Drosophila melanogaster: one gene and its partner. The protein of the gene in region 1 interacts with the protein of each later gene in a pairwise test. Each region holds a gene or a part of one and is shown in the gene's direction. Other genes may lie near its edges.

Region 1 (8,192 bases):
AGCGTGCACTCGAAGAACATTGTGGCCATATTACATCTGCTGGTGGCACTGGTGCGTCACTTCCGGGCGCCCGTTCGCCTGCCAGAGAACGTGTTCGTGACCGTCGTGATTGCGGAGAAGAATGCGGGCGTGCTGAACGCGCAGAAGTTCCAGGAGCAGATAACGTCCGAGTACGACGACCTGGGCATGCGCTGCGAAAAGGACGCCTTCGACACGCTGATCGACTGTGCGCCGGACAAGCTGGCCGTGGTGAAGAAGTCCTTGATCACGTTCGTGAACAAGCACCTGGCCAAGCTGAACTTTGAGATCAGCGATCTGAACACGGACTTTCGCGACGGCGTATACCTGTGCCTGCTGATGGGCCTGCTCGGTGGATTCTTTGTGCCGCTGCACGAGTTCCATTTGACGCCGCAGGACGTGGATCAGATGGTCAGCAACGTGGCCTTCGCCTTCGACCTGATGCAGGACGTGGGCCTGCCCAAACCAAAGGCGCGGCCGGAGGACATCGTGAACATGGACCTCAAGTCCACCCTGCGCGTCCTATACAGCCTGTTCACCATGTTCAGGGACTTCGCCTGAGTGAAACCCGGATGGAACGAGCCAGCGGGTTGCAGGAGCAACAAGCGGCGCCAATTTTACATTTTATATTAACTTTTTGATAGTGTTTACACGCCTAATTTATGTGCGTTCTCGAAACTGATTGTAGGCGATGCAGCGGTTAAAGCTTACTGATCCTAACTCTCAAAACCACAACTAAATGCTGCGTCGCGTATAATCAGCCCAAGGAATGTTTATATATATATATATATATTTATGTGTCGTACGTCTAACCACTGCGATCTGCTCCAGATTCAGATTGCTCGGAACAGGAAGGAGCAGAGCAGAGCAGAGCTAACCCAAACCCAAAATCCGGCGGCCAGTTGTTAACTTGTCTTACTCACGTGCCAGACGTTGTAGTTGTTACTAAGTGAATTTATTGTATTAATACATTATTTGAACACAATAACCGAGATTGTGCCTTTAGATCACACAGAGCTTTTGCAAATTATGTCACAGATCAGATTTTAACGCTGTAAATGTAGAAGTTTACGGAAAAGTCTTAAAAAAAAATTTTATTGTGTACGTTAAAAATTTGGATCAGAAAAATCAATAAATATTGCCAATAGCATATGTGTTATTCTATTTTAAACAGTTCCAAGGCGCAAAATTTATCTGGGGCTGCAGCACTCACAAACGCCAGCTTCCATCCTATTCACATGTAAGTTCTTTCGAGCGTCTCGAATTGATTGAGAAACAAACCTTAGTAATTTTCTGAACGCTGTGCTATTTGAATTGTCGCGGTTGCGCGCGCAACTCGCAACGGTCTGGTATCGATCACAGCTGCGAGCAGGCTGCCAGATCGCTTCCCGTTCGGGAACGATTTCGCATCGATTTTCGATTGCTGGCCGGTATAATTTGAAAATGTTACTTTGCTGACCGGATTTTGGTCCTTGGCCAGATGTTGGCCATGAATCTAAAAGCCAGTATTTAGTAACTTGCGTTGATTGCAGCCGCTTAACTAAGCCGCTTAGCCAGATATGTCCTAATGTTATGTGTTTCGTTTCGAAACAAGGTGGCAACCATGCGCATGCTTTTTATGATTTTCACAATAGCCGAGCGAAGTTTCAAGATTCTAGAACTACCCACCACACCAACGCTTCTGCTGCGCCGCCAGTCCCACAACTACGGCTACGACTACATCAGCCCCACGCACATCGAACTCAGCCGGGAAGCAACTCGCCTGGTAATTCGCCGTCTGCAGCGCACCGTTCTCCGCCTGATCCGTGACCCGGACTTCATCATGTCTGCCGAGGCGAATCCCGAGATGGATAAGGAGCACCACGAGTCCCCATTCGCAGCGAACCGCAAGGCCGGTGCCAGCGGCGCCGGCAAACAGGACTCGAACTGCCGCACCTGCAACGATTTCAAGTCGTGGTCCAAGCAGCAACGCCTCATCTCCAACGTGCAGAGCGCCAAGGTGACGTGATCGCGTTGGCCACTTCGCCTTCGCAAGCAGGACGATAACACAAGAATCTCCCACTTTCATACTCCTCCAGGTGAAGCACATGGCCGCCGCCGAAAAGCTGACCGTCAACGCCGCCGAAGATCCGCTGCCCCGCGACGACTGCCCGCTGGACAAGGTGAGGCTGGGAATTTCCACCTGGGGACTGCTCCACACCATGGCCGCCTTTTACTCGGACAACCCCACGGACACCGAGAAGCGCGACATGAAGACCTTTTTTGAGGTTCTGTCGCGCCTTTACCCCTGCGAGTTTTGCGCCAAGGACTTTCGCACCGAGTAAGTGCATCTTCAATCCATTTGAAAACGCTGACACTTTAGCTGGACCTCTGTTGCAGCCTGGACGTCAACCCCATCAATGTGAACTCCCAAAAGGAGCTAGCACTGTGGCTGTGCAAGTTCCACAACCGAGTGAACGACAAACTGGGCAAACCGCTCTTCGATTGCACCAAGGTGAACGAGAGGTGGCGCGACGGCTGGCTAGACGGCTCCTGCGACTAGGCGCCGCAGCTAACCAGCGCCGAGAAGCCCCGTCTCCCGCCCGTTGCAGGTTGCCATGTTGACCAGACTTTGTCCCACATTTTGCTCGGCTGGCCCACAACTACAACCACGGAACACGGGACTCCTGCTCGGCGGTGTACCGCCGCCAACCCGAAACTGTGCCCTGTTTCTGGCCAGAGGCCATGCCCACCAGTCGGAACCTGCGTCAGCGTGACATTAAATTGAGTTATGTTGTAATAGAGCGACACATCGAAGGTCCATTGTTAAATGATTTGCTGGCTATGAACTCCATTAGAATATACACATTATGTTGAGGACCCGTATTATGCCTTCTCACTGGCCCTGCAGATATCGCAATCTCTAATCTGCCGACTGGCGTTTATTAGATTAGAATGGGGAAGGCAAATGCTTTCCACTTCGATAAGATGGGAGTGGAAAGATCTAAAGCGGAGTTGGAATACAATGCTTAGTTGGTTCGAAATTAGGGGATTTGGCTGATACTTATATAGTTTTTAGATTTCCTTTCTATAATACCTAAAGGACTAAAGGTCTTAAAATTTGTCTGCTCTGGTTATATTTTTTAATATTTAACTTAATTTTTTTTTGCAATCAACGAAACATTAACATTTTATTCATTTAACATTTTAATATGCTTAACATAAGAGATATAAAAATTAGTGGAATTTTCGTAAGAGTAAGCCATTATATGATTTACTTATATAACATGATTGCTCAGCAATAGTTTAGGTAGTTTAAGCGGGGAAATTTAAATTTGGCTAATTTAAAATATTTAATACCTCAAATTTAGATGAACGATATTTTCGATTCATAATTATCGGTGATAACTTGTTCGATAGCTCTTCGTTCAGAAATAGCCAGATTTGGCGGCGAAATAGCTGCCCCCGCAGCGCCGCTGCCCGCACATTGTCGTGGTAGCCAACACTAGCGCACATCGCACTACAGTTAGTTGCCTGCTGGCTTTTGCGCGTCGCACGTATCACTTCGTCAGATTTCTCGATTTGGTCGAGCTGAGTAGAGTGTAATTACCAAACAAAGAAATGCGCCTGGCTCAAATTGAATAAATAAAAGCGCCCGCCGTGTGTGACAATCACTTTGCCCACCCCCTTTGGCCAGAAAAGGAGCGCCACTAGCAGCGGAGGAAGAAGCAGCAGCACCATCACCACCACCAGTTGTAGTACAGGAAGAAGAAGAAGCAGTTGCCCTGAAAGAGAGAGAGGGTGCGAGCGAGAGAGGACGAAGCTAAGACAGGGCTGTTCGACAACCAGGTGTTTACATCCTGCTATCCACCATCTGTGTGTGTGTGCATGTCTGTGTGTTGTGTCGTCATCAAACAGCCGATTAAAATATTGAAATCCGTGCAATAAACAATAGTGTCTGTTCCCCTTTCATACTTACTATTTATTATAATTTTTTTTTTTTAATTTTTTCCTTGTGCAAACCCCCTCCCCCCACGTGCGGTTAATCGAACACTGAAGTGCGAACGCGAAATTGCGAATTGTAAAATTCACAAGGTGCCCAATTTGAAGCCAAACGAGATCCGTAGCCACATCGCAATAGCAGAATGGCCCCGGCTCTAAGCAAATTGGCCAACAACCAGAGCGCCATCGTCGGCGTGGCGGGCATGACGGCGGCCCTCTGGATAATTGCCTACGGAAAGATGTCCAACAAGAAGCGGTAAGCCCCCCCTTGATCTTAATTACGGATAATTGTGGCTCAACCATGTTATTTATGTTGCCTGTGCAATATGCAATATTCTACGAACATCTTATTGCACAAGGTCTCGGTCTTGGCCATCGATGTGTCCGTGATATTGACTTGAGTTTTGGATCGCTGTGTATTTATGTACAAACAGATTTGTTTGCGGGACATACGATGCGATGCCACTATTGTGGGTCATCTGGCGGACTGCAAAAACTGGTTTTCCGATGGCCGTTTCTGCCACACTGTATGCACTTCCCCCTCATTGTAGTCCGGTTTCAATTGATTCGTCCAGCAGCCGCGCACAGTGGGCCGGACAGTTCGTTTGCAGCTCCAAATACTGTTCTTTTCAATTGTGTTACCCATTGCCATAATCTTATAATAAGTTTGGCGACCACCAGCTTACGTTTTGAAGATTCTCAAAAAGATATTTTTAAGTGCAGTCCCAATACAAAAAAAAAGTCAACAGATCATCGATTCATTTAAGTAGATGTGAACCAAAGTAGCTGGATCTGTTTGCAGTCTATCCCTATTATGTAGATATACTGATATCTAGGATAGGTCTGAATGTATATATTGTCTGGGAGGAATGGAGGAATTCCGCGTACTTAGCAGAAGGTAGACTCAGATAGGCACTACATTTCCGGCCAAACAGCAAACTCGATTAGGAAAGCCTTCTCGGCGCCCTCGACTATTATGACCCGAATAGCCACTTCTTGGCGGCCTGCTTCATTGCGGTATCGCTTCAAGGATTTCCCCATCGAGCACCTGCGATGCGGACTTGATTCCCCGGTTAAGGGCCACGTTTCGGTGTTTGAATGGACTTGGTCTTTGCCGCTAATCTAATCGGCAACGCGCCAGTCTACAGCACTTCATCTATATGCCCCATTCCACTATCGCCACTCGTGCCGATTATGCTGTTGTTAACGCGCTCAATATTTGGTCATATTCGATGTGTGCGGGGTTCGGCGCGCAATTGACCGCTATCAGTCGATTTCATCTTATTGAATAAACTGAACGGGTAAAGCGGGCGCAATCGACTATTTGCATGACAGAGCCAATTAATTAGACAGATTGCGGCGGACAAGTGGAGTGGGTGGGTGATTGCATTGCCAGCCAGCCAGCCAGCCAGCCATCCGCATGGGATTGTGGGGGATCTGCCGTGGCTGCATGTGCCACTCGTTAATTGCTAACATTACTCCGAGTACTCGGAGTATGCCGAGCACTCCGATGTTGGATACCCAACCGGTGGCCATCACTTTCAGCAACTTCTCTGAAGTGCACTGCACTTTGGCAGGCGATCGAAATCGAGCATTTTAATGCGCTGTTTACTTTTTTATGCAACTTTTGCGAGCGAGGTAGCCGCCACTTGTGGATGGCCGCTAAATTTATGCACCATTCCATTGTTCGAATTTTGCACAGTGGATGGTGCAGTCGGTTCAATGGATGCAGTGACTGGACACTCCACAGTCCAACCAACCAAATGGGCTTCGCAAGTGGAGCTCCACTTCGATTATGCTTTCATATGAATCAGTGGTTGAATTTTGTGGTTCATTTCATATAATTTCATTTAATTTCATTCATTCTATGATTCACTTTCAAGTCCAAGAGCTAATCGCTGAATGATTAAGAACGTTGAAAGTTTAAAAGGGACTTTTCGAATGTGTCAACGAGTTTCCGAGTAGCAACGCCTCTTGCACAACTTTCAAGGCGCTTTTTTATCGGTGTTTTTTTTATAGCCTCATATCAAGGACAGGCCCTAGAATTGTTAACTGATATGGTACGGTTATGCTAGCTCGTAGCACCGCCAATAATGTCTTTGCAATCTATCAAGGGTTTGGACAATTGGACAACACACCCAAGCTCATTAGTCCAAAGGTCCAAACACTTTGACTTGACATCCAGCAGCCTGCCTTGCAATCGAACACGCAACCACCGGTGGGCAGTTTGCTTTTGGTGTTGCAACAACACTCGATTGTACCCCTTACCCGGACCCAAGTCCGTACCCATACCCACACACACACACACCCATTCCATGGATGACATGATGACACCCGGGTATAAAGCATAAACATTACAGCCGTGCCTTTTAATGACTTGCGTCGTGCCATCCACAACATTGGATGGAGAGAAGCGCAGAGGACCAGTGGCTTCTGGTTTCATTTTTCCATTTCCATTTCCATTCGCATTCCCGTTCCCATTCCCAGCTCTTTGCCTTCGAGATGGGTAATGGGTAATGGGGTATAGGTGTTAATTTGTGTACAACTTGCTCTGTTTTTCGCAGGTAGACACATTCTGTATCGCCCGGCCCGTCCCGCCGGCTGTTGCGCAATAGCTTGTGTGGCTGTGCGCGCTCCAGACTTTCGGATGGGGAAGTGGAAGAGTCGGATGGATGGAGAGACCTTGTGCCCGGGAAACGCTTGGCCCTCGATAATCGGATTGCCCCGCAAGGCAGCCATTTATCGTGTAATTTGTATAATTCTCGCCTTTACTCGGACGGTGCGTGAAATGAGATCGTAATTTCAATGCAGATTCGCAGCCGAGCTCTGACATTTGCACCTGTTGCGGATGCCACGTTGCCAAGGCCTGTATGTCTGTCTGTCTGCCTGCCTGCCTACCGCTCACTCACTTACTCACTCACTCACTCACTCACTTACTCGCTCGCTCACTTGCTCACTCGCTCTCACTTCTGAGACATCGCAAGCGGAGTGGAGTGAGCGTGTGAGTGCCGGCAGACTGACTACGGGTCTTGAGGTCTACAGGTAACAGCCAAGGCAACAGGTGATGAGTATGCCCGAGCTGTGTCGAGCTATCTGATTTTGGCCAGCGTTTATCAGACAAACTAGCTCGATAGCGGCTGCTATGCGGCACAAGAACCACTGAACTTTGATTGCAATCCGCGGCAATGTCTCTATCTGAGTCAGACGCCAACCGATCTTCTCGCGCCCGGGTTCAATGTGCCCCCCATTAGGCGATCGCCGGCGATTAGCGAAAGAGAGCTTTGGATGAATCGCAGGGGCAGGCGATTTCGGAATGGGAATGGGAATGGGAATGGGTATGGGTATGGCAATGGGAGCCACCGGTGTTGACCTATGGACCCAAACACATGTTCCACGTCTAGGCGGTGAAAACAAGTTTAATATACTACGAATCAAAAAAGGAAAACCACACGAGAGACAGCCAGACACACAGACGGATTGAAAGATAGATAGATGGAAACATATATATATATATATATATATATATATATAGAAATAAATACAAGAGCGCTATGAATAATTCAGTGATCTGCGCAGCGATATTTAAGAAATAACCAAGTCATCACGACTCGTCGCTTTTTCCAGCCTGCAGATAACCAAGGCGCGAGCTTTGTACTTTGTTTGGCCTAACATACCAGTAGCACCAGCACCAGCACCAGCACCAGCACCAGCAACACCAGCACCTCACATCTCATCACCCACATTATCCCATAGACTTCGAACCCTGGGCAGGTGGCGATTTTGGACTCCATCCGATTCGATACGATACGATCCGATCCGATCCGATCCGATCCGATTGGCGATCCAATGCCGGTTAGCCAATGGCCCAGTGGCTTGTGTTGAGCTGGTCAGCTCTGGGCACCGGTTTTCATCCGGACCTTGATCCCACAACGATTAGCAGCTGAAAAGAATTCAAACAAATTATCTCGGAAGCATTTCATGTAGCAAATTTGGGGAAATGTGCTTTTTTTTTAATGTACGCTCAAGCAAAAGTGATAACGAAAGCCCATAGCTTGTGAGTAATGTTTGAGATAGTTAAACTATTTAGCCGAATTTCCATGCAATCTAAAATAAATATTTTATGTTTTTTTTTTTTTTTGGAAATTATAATCGTTTTAATTGATAAAACTTATCGATCGGCTAATTAGTCGAAA
Region 2 (6,876 bases), on another chromosome or scaffold:
TTAGGGGTTGAAAAGGATGTTTGTTCAACGCAGAACGTTTAGATTAATTGAAAGTCAAGTGCTAAATAACTCATAAATCGCTTAAAGTTTTCAGCTCTGAAGCATATGTACAATATAAGTTTACCGCAATATTTAGAGTGGCGAAAACTTTTAAATTTTGATATAAATCTCTCTTACTCTCACTTTTACCTCTCTCTCTCTTTCTCGAGCTTTGTGCGCAAAAGTAAACAAACGCAACTTTCATTCATAAATAGCAACAACGCAACCGGCGAAATCGAATCAAACTGATAATCAAAACAAAACCGAAAGCTCTCCAAAGCAGTGCTCTTCGTAATTCTCTGACTCACTTTTCGACTGTCTAGCGAATTAATTTAAATACGCCCACTAAGATTGAACTGAAATCTCATTACCAAATCGCCGTCACACCTCATTGACGCCAGTCCAAGTAAGGCAGGTAAGTTTCCCCAAAAGGTGTGCAAGTGGTCATAAGTTACTTACTGCTGTCTCTGTATCTGTATCTGAGGAATATTCTCGCTTGACATAGACTTTACAGTGCTGTAATGTAATGCCTGTAAAGCGTCGCTGTAGGAGTCTGGCTGCTACAGAACCATGCTGCAAGTGCGCTTAAGTTTAAGTTCTGACCAGTCGACTTTTTCACAGCCGAAATGCGAATTATATATATATATTATAATTATATATATAATATATATGTCCAATCTATACATATTGATTTCGTTTCGGTTCGCTCTACAAGTACTGAAGCATACATACATCGTTTATTTATGTGTGCTATCCATTGAATACATCTCAATCACTTTAATATCGTGACGCTTGAAGGCACACGAAAGCTGATAGCTACGAGGCGATTCGCTCTTTATTCTCTTCTTACTTAATTAAGAGAGGCCACCACACGAGAACTGCACTTGTGTTGGTGTAAGTTGCATGCCGGTTTTTGTTGTTCTGACGCCGATTTTTCCCCACCTCTCTGAATGCTTGATGATTCATCGCAACAAACCAAATGCAGAGGAGACAAATTCCAAATTTAACGTCGCTTGCTTTCTGGGACTCCACATGGGGATTTGAGAAGTGGGGAAGAATCCGCGGTGCTGAGCGGCATTCGCAATGGGGGAACGAAAACAAAGAACTCGACAACCTTTGGCCTTGATTTGGGAAGATATTCCTTTGCTTATCCAGGCATCAGACAACTTGCATTTAAAATGGAAAGCAGATCTATGTAAATAAATCAGTATCCATGTACCTTGCTCAAATTTAATTTTATTACCTTTAATTAAATAAATCTTATTCAATTACTTGTTTTCCCTAAGCAAATACTATTCTTAAGGCATTCAAGCACGTTTAATCACATTTTAAAAACTTGTATACAAAAGAGACAATTTCCGCTAAAACAACATATTTATTTTGAAAAGCTTAGGTTGGAAAGTTAGTTGTATGCTAAAATTAAATTTTCTGAAATGAAATCCAATAATACCCTCGGCACAGCGTAAATAATACTTGTTTATATATAGTACTCATGAATATCAGTGTGTATACTTGCTACTCAATGCGGGTCATAAAAAAAACCCTTGATGAGGTGTGATCTCATGTTTGTTCCATGTTCTGAACTTATGATTTATACAAGCACATTTTAATGTCGGCCTTAAATACAAAACACAGGGCACGAGGTGCCAAATGTGCAGTATAGTTAATTTCCCACGCCCTCCAAACTTATGCAATTATTCATTTGTCCAAAAACCATATGCATCCATTTTCAATTAGTTTTTAAACATTGAATTTAGAAACAAGGGACTGTAACTATTTCTAACTAAGTTCTTTCTTTTCTTCGTGACCTGAAAATTGTTTGCTTTTCATGTTACACAGTGTTCTTAAAACGCACCATTCATCCAAGAGTTGTATTTTTATACACCATTTTACTGTGATAAATAGGCAATATGTAAATCGAGGAACCCCACATCAACCGCAAGTTGCTTTTTTGCTCCCCAATTGCTCCTATCATTTTGCATTGTGCTCTTCCAATTGATTCGAAATCTCGAACATGGGCCACCTACAGCCACGATTATTGTGCTAGGGTTGTGATAATTGAAATGCAGATTAGGTTCCAGTGACTTTTTGTGTGTCTGAGACTTTTTAATCAGTAGCTGGAATCCACTGGGCTATCGATCATCGGAATCGTGACAAGGTCAGTGAATTTTTAATCTGTTCGAGGGATGCACCACCGGGAGCTTTATCAGTGGGAATGGGAATGGGTCACCACGAAAGTATTTCAGAAATACATCGATGACGCAAGAATAATTGTTTCCGGTCTCTCAGAGCCGCGGGTATGTTTCCCCGTTTTGTGGCTTTGTGGCCGCCATGAATAATGTGTAACAATGCTGTGGAAAGCGGCAAATCGGAGCACCTGATATATCGCGATGTAAGGCGACAGAGCTGCGATAAGGCCGTTTTGATAAGATACGCGGGTGGGGCTGGCGCATGCGCATCTGGGTTTCATTGGGCTTCGGAGCCTGAACATGTTGAACCGTCAACGAATTAGTAACCCATTTCGAACGGCACCTGTTATCGTGAGCCCTATCTTATCTTATCGCTGACCGTGTATGCTCTGATTGCAAAAGCTACAAATTCTTGGCGACACGACGAACTGGGCGCGACAGGTTGGTTGGTTGCCTTTCAGTGATATTTTTCAGTTTAGTCGACGAACGACAACGATACGAAAACGAATCATTTCGCTGTAGTTTCCGCGTGAAAATTACAGAAAAGATTGTGAGTGCCCCTTGACTGGGAGAAACCCCTCTGTGAACTAAAGCATTTGCCCAAATTCCAGCTCAGCGATAAGAGCAATCAGCATATCTAGTGCGAAATGGTGTCCGTGGAGACTGTAGGCTCTATTTTCATCAAGGCCCTGAAGCTGGTAAGTTTTGGGCTTCTTTGGTCCCTTCCTATTGAGCAATAGCCTGTTTGTGGTCGCAATAACTCGGCTGATAGATAAGCGCGCGTTTTATCAGTCCTGGCGTATTAGCAATGTTACTCATACGCCGAGTTGTACGGCAAGGCGAGGCGTGGCCAAGAAGTGATTCATTCATTCCCATTCCCAATTGTGACCTCATTTAATTGCTCTCCTGTGCGCTCCTTTTTCGCAGATCATCAATCTGGTGATCATCTTCTTGTACCGTTGGGGCGATGGTGGCGAATTCCTGGGCATCGGCGGCACGTGGAACTTAAACGAGGAGAAGAGCGCCGATGCGGAAATCGTAGCCTCAGGCGTCATGGTTGGATTCTTGATTTACACTGGATGCCACACCATTGCCTTTGCCTTCGGCACAACCAAACATAAGGGGTATGTTGAATGCCGATATTGATTATAGCTGAACTTTGACCCGCATCTTATTCCTTTTCTTGTATTTTCCGCCCTTAATTCCACACTCTCAACTCACAACTGTTTGTTTTCAATGGCTTTCCGTTTTTCAGAGAGCTGTGCGACACCATCATGAACGTGGTTGGCTGCATCATGTGGATCGCCGTGGGCGGAGTGGCACTCCACTACTGGAAGGGTTACATGTCCGACGAGGGATTCCTGTATGTGAACTCGGAGCGTCAAGTGGGCATTGCCATGGGCTCGCTGTGCGTTATCGAGGGCGCACTGTACCTGCTGGACACCGTGTTGGCTTGCATACACTATTCGAAGGGCGACACCGACTACACGCAGTAGAAACTGAATAGTGGGGATACCAATCGCAGCCGCCGAATAAACACCATCCACATTTGTCTTTATACATAGATCGATTTAAGTGCAAATTAGTTATTATCCGCAATCAATTATCAACTATACGTTCGTAAGGGTCAATTGTCGCTGTACTATACACTAACTGTTTACAATTTTCATTCACGTTTAACATCCTTAAATTGGCAAATACAAATAGTTAAGACCACGCCACGGATAAAAGTTTTTGTGCATTTGGGAACTAATTAAGGGGATGCAATGGAATGCCACTTACTAGTAAGTATCAATTGTAACCTAAATCAACTAATTACCATCAGAACCCATTGATCGTGTTGCTCAGTTTCTTTTTTTCTGATATCATTGCAATTAATGAAAGATTATTTATATATATCATACATCATACGTAAGCATTTTGCTAATTTTTGTCAAAAAACGACAACTTAGATTTGTTGACTAAACTTTTCGACTTTAAACTAACACCCAATCGAAATTTCATATTCCAAGCGATCTGATACTGATATATTGTAATTGGTGAGATATTTCATTTGTTTTTAGTACTAGTACTAGAGAACCTATTGCTCTCCAAGAACCTAATATTCTTTTAAAGAACTTGATGGAAAACTAAACTAATTGTTTAGGAACTGATGCACACAGGAAAAATGTCAGACGATTCGCAGAATTTGGTATATATCACTCATTTCTTTGCTGAGAACAGAGTTCATGAGTTGTTCAACCAAATCGATGACGCTTCAAGACGAACCTCCTCTGGAACCATGAAACTGCAACTTCCGGTGCAAATCGAAAGCGTTCAACGAAGCATTGATAAATCGGAATAAAGCCCTATATTTATCGGTCAGCTATACGCAGAAGTCTTTATGGCAATGAGTCAAAGATTAAACGGTACAGTCAAAACTACACACATTACGTAAATGCATATGGTGTATAAATAAATAAAAAAAAAAGGTTAGTCACCCTTAACTTTGCAACTGAAGAACTTATAATATTTGAATATGATCATCTTTTTTAAAATCTTTCAATAAGATCAAATCTTGCGTATAAATTAACAAGAGCTGAGCTCAACTCACCTGTTTTCCTGGCTTCCCCCGCCCGTCCACTGCATCCCGTTCCCGCTGCTGCTGCTGCTGCCGCATGCTTCTGCTCCTCCAAACGCCCGTCATACGGAAGAGGCACCGCAGGTCCACCGAGCCGTCCTCCAGATTGAGGGCATCGAAGAGCACCGCCTGATCATGGATGAAGGAGTTCCGCGTGCGCTGATTCAGCAGATCCAGGGTTCGCGAGTCCAAGCTCTCTCGATAGACATTATGTACGCGGTCCAGATTGTGCTCGTAGGCGGTGTCCAAATTGAAGGCACTGTTCAGGCTGGCCATGCTGCTCCTACCCTCCAGCGAGGTCTTGCTTCTGCCCTCCAACGAGGTCTTGCTCCTCCTGCGGCGCATCACCACCGTCCTGACCGACTCATCCATAGATGAGCCAAGGTGGACGGAGGTGCGCGAGTTGTCGCCCAGCGGAGAGGGCGAATGCGAGTGGGCCAGCGCCGAAGGCGGCAGCGGCAGCTGGGTGGCGATGGTCACCGGCTGTTCCGCCAGACTCATCAGCGATTGCTGGCGCTCCAGTTGCTTCTCGTAGCCATTGAACTTGTCGTAGTCGATGAAGGACATGTTGGCGTAGCTAACCATATTATCGATAGCCTGCAGGGATTGCAACGAGGCACTCCATTTGGGATTCATCTTCTCCTTTTTCTCGGCTCCGCTCCCACTGCCAGTGAATCCACTGAAGGTGCTCTTGAAGGAGGCAATCAGCGTGTTGGATCGTCTCTTTTGGAAATTAAGCTGGGGATTGGCGGGTTCCGTTTGATTGAGCGACATCAGTGAGCCCTTCCGTTGGGCCGGCGACTGCACCTCCTCCAAAGGAGTCGACGTGAAGGGCTGTGCGGATTGTCGACGTTTTGGAGTCCTCACCGATGAGCTGAGCTCACTCCTTCGCAGGAGCACCGGCGAACTGGCCTGCAGATCGGCCACCGATGTCTTCCGCGGCGATGTCGGTGAGGTGAGATCCCCCGATTTCTCCGTCTCCTCGCTCAGTTGCTCCAGCTGGGGCTCGATGAAACTGCGGCGATTCGGTCGTCTCATCTGGATCATCGAACGACTTCGGGTGAATATGTACGGTGTGCGGCTGGAGTCCCCATCGCTGTCGGTCCTCGACAGATTCTCCTTGCTGCCCGTCAGGTGGTTAATCAGTTTATTCAGCTTGGTGCGTAAGAAGCTATTGGATCGCTCCATTTTGGGCACATTTTCGTAGCCCGGCAATGTGGTGGCGCCCATTGATATACTCTGGATCCTCTTTTCCGCCTCAAAGTGTTGTTTGGTTTTCTGGGCCACGTTAATTGGCAACGTATTATTCTTGCTATTGTTATTGGACACTATACTGCTATTATTGTTGTTGTTGTTGTTGTTGTTGTTGTTGTTGTTGTTGTTGTTGTTGTTGTTGTTGTTGTTATTGTTACTGCTATTATTGTTGTTGAAGTTGGTTTGTTTGTTGTTATTATTCGGTTGGATATTCTTGGCATTCGGCGTTGATTTCACTTTGTTACCATTTGACAACGATTCCTGCTGCTTTTTGTTAACTTTTTTCGTCTTTTTTAGCGCTTTTGCCGCGCTCTTTGTCTCCTTGCTGGAATACATTCCCAGGCCAACGGACTTTAAACCCCTGCAAAAAATGGAAAGAGTAAACACAGGCATTAATAGACTGATTAAAAATCGACTAACTCGTAGCCGATTGGTTTTTATTGCTATTATTCGGCTTGCTATCAGTACGCCTAAACTCACTACTTTGGCAACCTGCGGTTGGATTTCCTAATATTGGATAATATTGGATTTCCAAATTGGATTTCCTAATAACACGAAAATCTGTGTCCAACACTTATTTCAACACTTGTGTTTTACGAGAGAATAAAGAAGAGAAGCTCAGACTAATGTGGCTCTACATTTTACTAATGTTACTAATTTCTGACAATCGATTTGGAAAATATAATATTTTCATTCTGCACAGATTGGTATCTTAAAGTTCGCAAAACACATTTCCCATCTGTCATGCAGTCCATAAAACTGAAAGTATTTGAC

The links. Proteins that work in one complex are often made in the same cells at the same time.
Region 2: the proteins of Abcd3 (region 1) and Ssk interact in a two-hybrid assay, tested with the Drosophila melanogaster proteins (one large-scale study listed by BioGRID).

The regions. Positions count from the first base shown.
Region 1 is NC_004354.4:19,747,292-19,755,483, forward strand, and holds the start of Abcd3 (ATP binding cassette subfamily D member 3), read left to right. Parts: upstream 1-3,478; 5' UTR 3,479-3,846; exon of another isoform or gene 3,847-4,056; 5' UTR 4,057-4,142; coding exon 4,143-4,255; intron 4,256-7,579; exon of another isoform or gene 7,580-8,012; coding exon of another isoform or gene 8,013-8,053; intron 8,054-8,192. Other genes in the region: parvin, read left to right, coding at 1-579; Alr (augmenter of liver regeneration), read left to right, coding at 1,622-2,017, 2,097-2,338, 2,398-2,560.
Region 2 is NT_037436.4:20,185,837-20,192,712, forward strand, and holds Ssk (snakeskin), read left to right. Parts: upstream 1-2,685; 5' UTR 2,686-2,875; coding exon 2,876-2,926; intron 2,927-3,155; coding exon 3,156-3,352; intron 3,353-3,483; coding exon 3,484-3,724; 3' UTR 3,725-3,943; downstream 3,944-6,876. UniProt on the Drosophila melanogaster protein: Required for assembly of smooth septate junctions (sSJs), together with mesh and Tsp2A. May be important for barrier function of the midgut epithelium.